2 linked regions of the Drosophila melanogaster genome follow. The protein of the gene in region 2 interacts with the protein of the main gene of each other region in a pairwise test. Each region holds a gene or a part of one and is shown on either strand. Other genes may lie near its edges.

Evidence for each region.
Region 1: the proteins of CG7407 (region 2) and Sras interact in a two-hybrid assay, tested with the Drosophila melanogaster proteins (one large-scale study listed by BioGRID).

Annotation. Positions count from the first base shown.
Region 1 is NT_037436.4:5,562,013-5,565,603, reverse strand, and holds Sras (severas), read right to left. Parts: upstream 1,831-3,591; 5' UTR 1,744-1,830; coding exon 1,338-1,743; intron 1,279-1,337; coding exon 776-1,278; 3' UTR 501-775; downstream 1-500. Other genes in the region: ScsbetaG (Succinyl-coenzyme A synthetase beta subunit, GDP-forming), read left to right, coding at 2,061-2,111, 2,209-2,338, 2,420-2,519, 2,733-3,591.
Region 2 is NT_037436.4:21,821,758-21,825,119, forward strand, and holds CG7407 (uncharacterized protein), read left to right. Parts: upstream 1-1,703; 5' UTR 1,704-1,774; coding exon 1,775-1,906; intron 1,907-1,968; coding exon 1,969-2,343; 3' UTR 2,344-2,814; downstream 2,815-3,362. Other genes in the region: CycH (cyclin H), read left to right, coding at 249-562, 639-840, 900-1,128, 1,184-1,295, 1,354-1,471; eIF2A (eukaryotic translation initiation factor 2A), read left to right, coding at 3,281-3,320.

The DNA.
Region 1 (3,591 bases), about 16 Mb from region 2:
GGTTGTGTTGTTGTTGCTATTTCTGCTTAAGATTTGGGTTCTATTTGCGTGTGCGTTGACGTGGTCTTCCGCGCGGCCTGCAAGTGTCCCAGGATGACCCCGGGGGGTTGAGGTTAGTCTTAATTGTTCTATAATTACTATCATTCGTAGTCCTGGGCAAAGACCACAAACGTCACCAGAACGCGGATCTGTTTTCCCAGTTCTAGCACGGGTCGCCGCTCTGCGGGATTACCTCCGATTGGGCCTCCTGGCGCTGACCTCTCGATTTTCGGGTCGTTTAGATGCTCGCTTGTTGTGCGTCGTTTTAAATCATCACATATTTACCAAAATTTACTTGTCTGGGCCTATCGGGCCCTATCGATAAGCCTATGTGGGTCTGAGTGGCAGTGTGACCAGCTGCCCAATACCGATATGTTGGAACTAGTGATTGCGCGGAACCAATAATACCGCCTAAATTTGAATTCATATTTCTTTCTTAATAATAATAATAAATAATATTTATAAATGTTAAGAAATTGTTTAATAAACAAATGCAAACAAAAGTAGTTGTAATAAAAGTACTCTCGAACAACAAAACAGTACAACTGACTTACTATTAGGTATACATTTATCTGTACTTTCTTTTTTCTTTTTCATCGGAAGTCTTTTTTTTGTGCGCGGAATTGGCTCGAATGGGATATGCAATTTACATATAAACATAATATATGCACGAATATTTATGTACACATGAATGAACCGACGTATGGCAGCGGTTGATACATACAAATTAACTTAATTATGCATTCCAGTAAAGGGTGTTATCATAGATCGACGGATCGGTAGCCAGTGGTACCAGGAACATCCATCCAACAAATCCAGCTAAGTAGAGAATAATGGCCACTACTCGTCGCCAGAGATCCTGCTGCCACAGATCCTGCAGATCCGGCAGACCCATATGATTGCAAAACGCGTGCACCAAGATGGGAGCCATCACATGACCTGTACGGGCAAATAGAAAGGCCGAATAGAAGCCAAATAGCGTGGTGTAGATGAACTGGAACAGTCCAATCAATAGGGCAGTGCTCAACTCCACGCCTAAGCTCAGGCGTTCGGCTATGTGATGCAAGTGGGCTACTCCGAAGAAAAGCGGCGTTATGAAAACGGCGACCAGGGGCGAAAAGCTCTGCAGGATCAGGGGCATCATGCAGGCTCGGAACACGAACTCCTCGCTCAGCGGTGCTATCACATGGTTGCGCACCCAGATGATGCTGCCAAATGATCCCCTCCAGTAGTCCAGATCTGCAATTCAAATCAAGCAGTGAGAAGGGGCTGATAGGCAGAGGGGCTTTAACTATTACCGAAGTAGGAGCGCACGGACTCGTTCTGCATGTTGACAAAGATGGGTCCCAGGAAGAGCAGCACCGTCAGGCTGTATGGTATAACAACAGCCTGCCACAATCCCTCCAAGCGCAAACCGAGCAGCTTGGGAAATGGTACCCGGCTGAGCAGCTCCGGCGATGAGAAGAAGTAAACGAAGAACGGGGCTGCCAGCATCACCATGGACACACTGGCGAATCTTCTCTTGACCGTGGTTGGATGATCCCGGTTGTGTTTGGTGCTCCAGATGTAGAGGCTACCCACGTACAGAACAGCCAGAACGAAGCAACAGCTCACCGAAGTGGCCACCGGGATCTGGGGCAATGATTCGTGGACTACATTTTCTTGCATGGTGACTTCGGCTTCCGTCTCACTCAGGTTTTTCATTCAATTTGTGTTATTCGTCATTCTTCGCTGACTATTAGCCGAAGAAAAAAAGTACACAACGACAGCTGATTTTCAGCTGACTGCAACAGTAAGACCATTGCTTCGCGAGAACTAGTTCAAGATGGCAGTGGCATTTGGTATATTTTTATCACCATGGAAAGTAGTCGTGCTTCTTGGTCACATTGTGCAGTGATAAGCATCGTGGAACGGCGGCGATTTTCGGTTGTGTTTTTAAACTAAATTTACCGACAAAGTTACGAAAATAAATTAATACCAAGTTAGCCAAGGTATTCAGTTACCACCGCAGATCAGCCAAGATGTCGTTCCTACTGAAAGCAGTTACCACAGCCCGTCACATCGTTCATAAGGTTTCCTCGCACTCACATTCCTCTATAATATATCAACTCTTCGAAAAGAGAAGTTGAAGTGACCTTTGTCTTGGCTTTGTTTATCTTTCGATGATAGGTTCCCGTGCGCAACCTGAATCTGCTGGAGTTCCAGAGCAAGGATCTCCTCCAGAAGTATGGAGTGGCCATACAGCAATTCAAGGTCTTGAATAACTCCAAGGCAGATGCCGAGGTCGTCAAGACTTTTGGTAAGTGGAGGACGGAACCATGCCGGTGTTTATGTAATCCCTGGGCTAATTGGTGTTAAATGCTGTGCTTCTGTGTTTCAGAGTGCCCGGAATACGTGGTGAAGGCGCAGATTCTCGCCGGTGGGCGTGGCAAGGGAACTTTCGACAACGGATTCAAAGGCGGCGTCCATATCACCACCAAGTATTATAGATTAGGTCTATTCCGGCTATTCACATTCACATTTTATCTAAAAAATTAATATTATTTATGTTCTACAATATCATTTGTATATAAGATTAATCTTATCATTCTGCCCATATTGAAAATGATAAAAGTTTGTGAAAGCCAGAGTGTACCTTAAAAACACAAGTGATAAGACCAGCTTATACTAATAATTATTTAACATTTTGCCAGCAAGAGCGAGGTGCTTTCGCTTACCCAGCAGATGATTGGAAACCGACTGATAACGAAACAAACGCCCAAATCGGGAATTTTGGTCAACAAGGTCATGGTGGCACGCAGTATCAACATCACCCGCGAGACCTATCTCTGCATCTTGCTGGACCGCGAGCACAATGGACCCGTGCTGATTGCCTCACCTGCCGGTGGCATGGATATCGAGGCGGTGGCCGAGGAAACCCCTGAGAAAATTAAGACTGTTCCGCTAGACATTGGCAAGCCCATACCGGAGTCGACGCTCTTGGAGGTGGCCAAGTTCTTGGAGTTCAAGGGAGACTCTGTAAAGCGTTGTGCTGAGGAAATTCAAAAACTCTATACTCTCTTCAAAGCTGTGGATGCCGTACAGATCGAGATCAACCCGCTGGCGGAGACGGATAAGGGAGAAGTTATCTCCGTTGATGCTAAGCTCAACTTTGACGACAATGCCCAGTTCCGTCAGAAGGATATTTTCTCCATGGACGTCACCGAGGAGGAATCCGATCCCCGAGAAGTGGAGGCGGCCAAGTACAATCTGAACTACGTCGCCATGGATGGCAACATTGGCTGCTTGGTTAATGGTGCCGGCCTGGCCATGGCCACCATGGACATCATCAAGCTGAATGGAGGCGAGCCCGCCAACTTTTTGGACGTCGGCGGTGGCGTCAGGGAGGATCAGGTGGCCAAAGCCTTCGAGATCCTCACTGCTGACCCGAAAGTCAAGGGAATCCTGGTCAATGTCTTTGGCGGCATTGTCAATTGTGCCACCATTGCCAATGGCATTGTGGCTGCATCCAAAAAGCTGCAACTGAATGTTCCACTGGTTGTGCGACTGGAG
Region 2 (3,362 bases):
ATACTCGAACTTGTAGCTGTATTAAAACGTGTTCACTTATTGATTAAATCATAGCCCATACAGTTAGTTATACGTTCTCAATTTTTGCCAATCTTGCGCTTCTGATTTCCAATGAAATAAAAGTGACTATTGTACGAATCACCCTAATATTTTTTCACAACTGGTATTTTTCTCCGTCCCGCAATCGGTAACACCATGCAGGGTGTCTGAGTTTCGAATCGGCATAAATTCGCCGGCAGCTGAGCAAGATGTATCCTGTGAGCTCGCAAAAGAGGTCCTGGACATTCGCCAATGAGGGCCAGCTCATGGAGTTCCGCGTGGAGCAGAACAGCAAGTACATCGAGTCGCACGAGGAGGAGGCGCAGGGTCGCGACCTCAATGAGCACTTTCTCACGTCGGCGGAGGAGCGCCTGTTGCTGAAGCAGTACGAGATCTACCTGTTCGATTTCTGCCGCCGCTTCGAACCGACGATGCCCAAGTGCGTTGTGGGCACGGCCTTCCACTACTTCAAGCGGTTCTATCTGAACAACTCCCCCATGGACTATCACCCCAAGGAGATTCTGTAGGAACGCTCACCTGAGAGCAGCAAACACCCAGCTGAAAAGCAAAACATTCTAAAAATGTATAAACCTTTTCAGAGCCACATGCGTGTTCGTTGCCTGCAAAGTTGAGGAGTTCAACGTGTCCATCAACCAGTTCGTAAACAACATCAAGGGCGACAGGAACAAGGCCACCGACATAGTGTTGTCCAATGAATTACTGCTGATTGGACAGCTCAACTACTACCTCACCATACACAATCCGTTCAGACCCATCGAGGGTTTCCTGATAGATATAAAAGTGCGATATATATTCACATTTGCTCTCCAGATTGTTTCGTTCATATTGGTTTGTTTCAGACTCGCAGCAATATGCAGAATCCAGATCGTCTGCGGCCACATATTGATAGTTTCATTGATTCCACGTACTACTCGGATGCCTGTCTTCTGCATACGCCTTCGCAAATTGCATTGGCTGCCGTCCTCCACGCGGCCAGCAGAGAGCAAGAGAATCTCGATAGCTATGTGACGGATCTTCTGTTTGTCTCCGCCAGGGAGAAGCTACCCGGACTCATAGATGCCGTGCGAAGTAAGTTTGTGCTGTGAGATGGTGCGCCCAGCCCTACATGCCTTTTTCCCGACAGAAATTCGCATAATGGTGAAGCAATATCAGCAGCCCGATCGGGAGAAGGTCAAGGCCATCGAGAAAAAGTTGGACAAGTGCCGAAATCAAGCCAATAATCCTGATAGCGAACTGTAAGACGCCCTAATTTGTTCATGCATTCCGAATTTAATAACCCTTATACTTTAAAAGCTATAAGGAGCGCCTACGCCGATTGTACACCGATGAGGATGACATGCCCGCCGAAGATGCCTCATTCCACATTGCAGATGTGAGCTCGGACACATCTGCTATGAACATCAGCCAATAGACTTAAGAATATTTATTTAAATGATGTGATGATCTACTACTGCGTGGATTTCATCGATATTAAAGCATTTTGTAATTTACCATTTCTTGATTGTTAAAATGTATGCGTTTAGTGTTAGTTTACTAAACAAAGTTGGATTAGGTACTTCACTTTTCCAATATATAAAATATTAAAAAAAAAACCTTTTGAAAATCCGCTTAGCGCTGCTTGGCAATATTTCGTTCGCAGCTAACGGCCACACTGCGCCCCAAGAAAAACAAGAATAGTGAACTCAGTCACAACAAATAGCAAAAAGAGTTCGAAATGCAGGATTTTCTGCCTTCGCTGGATGTTCTCTTTCTTGGACTACCAGGCCACTACTCGGTAGCGCTGGTCACCCTTCTGCTGTGCGTTTTGGTCGCCTTCTACTTCGCCAACATCTTCAAGGACAAAGGCGTGGGTGTTTTTGCCGGAAGAAGTAGACGTCTCCTGGAATATTTCCTTACATTATCTTGCAGGAACTGGAGGACGAGGGCCTGGGGGCCGACGAGCCGCGCGATGAGGAGGATTCCGAGTCACGGACTCCGCAAGGGGAGGAAACCGACGATGACGAGGCCTACGAAGAGAACTCCACCGAAAGCGAAGTTGAGCTAATCGAGGAACAGCTGCCCGAGCACAGCTACAACCACCTGATGGGCCAGCTCAAGGCCAAGAGGCTCCAGCATAAGATGGAGAAGACCCTGACTCCCAGCCAAATCGAGGAGGAGCGCCGAATAGAGCGCGAGCAGCTGGCGGCCATCTTTGAGCTCCTGCGCAAACAGGAGGCGGAATTGAACCTCCAGGACCGAATAAGCGACCAGGATCTCAAGCAGCAGGTGCGGCTCTATCGCTGAAGTGGCGCCGAGCCTGGGCTCACCCTACCTGAATGTACAGACTTGTGTGATCTATTAGTTTAATGTTTAAAATTCCAAGATTTGGTGTTGCCTCATACGGTCCACTAAGTGCGGGCAAGTCTTTAGTCAGAGAGCTATCTCATCAGTCGATGATGTCGGAATATAATATCTTAGTTGTATGTAAATTATATGTATTCCACTTCGATCTATGTATTTTGTGAGTTCCTGGTGTTATTAATATCTGATTTAGATTTGTAGTAAATGGCTGTTCGGCTCTTAGTCTCTTAAATCAGCTTTCGAATTAAGAATATATGTATATATTTTAACGTGTTACAAGATAAAAACTCGCGATCAGAAAGTGTATAGATTTAAACACAATTAATCGCCAAATTCGTTGGTTAGATTTAAATTGTGTTCATATAACTTTGGATTTATTTGTTCAATAAAGAATGTTTAGCTGTGTTAAGATGTAATATATACTCTAAATATTTCCTACCGTTTCCTAGCCAAATATCCGAAAATAACCGCTCATATTTTATATGCCGCGATTGGATTTTTGAAAATAATTGTTCTAACATATAGATTCCATCAGCACACCTTCGATTGGAGCAGTCGAAATGCTTAGCGTTTCTGTTCCAAATTTTTTAGTACTAAAATGTTTTTAAATTCACGTGGAGCAGATATTTTGTTGGAGTTCTAAATACGTTCGGTTTGGTTTGGTTGATGTTTAAACGTGTCGTTGTGGCGCCAATGCCCATGCATGTTTACTATCGCTTATCGATACACCGCGTACACGGCAACCGTGTGTGACCAATTCAAGCACGAAATCGTTGACCAACACTGATTGTACATCAGACGACACGACAACAAAAACAACAGCAACAACACCACCGACGTGCTTGTTCCTGTGTGTGTGTGCGTGTGAGATTGGAAGACAATGGCTGCAGCTGCGGATCTGGTTGTTCCTACCCTTGCCAGTGAGTATAGCCCGGATGCAATCCCCGCCAGGTGGTCACTGA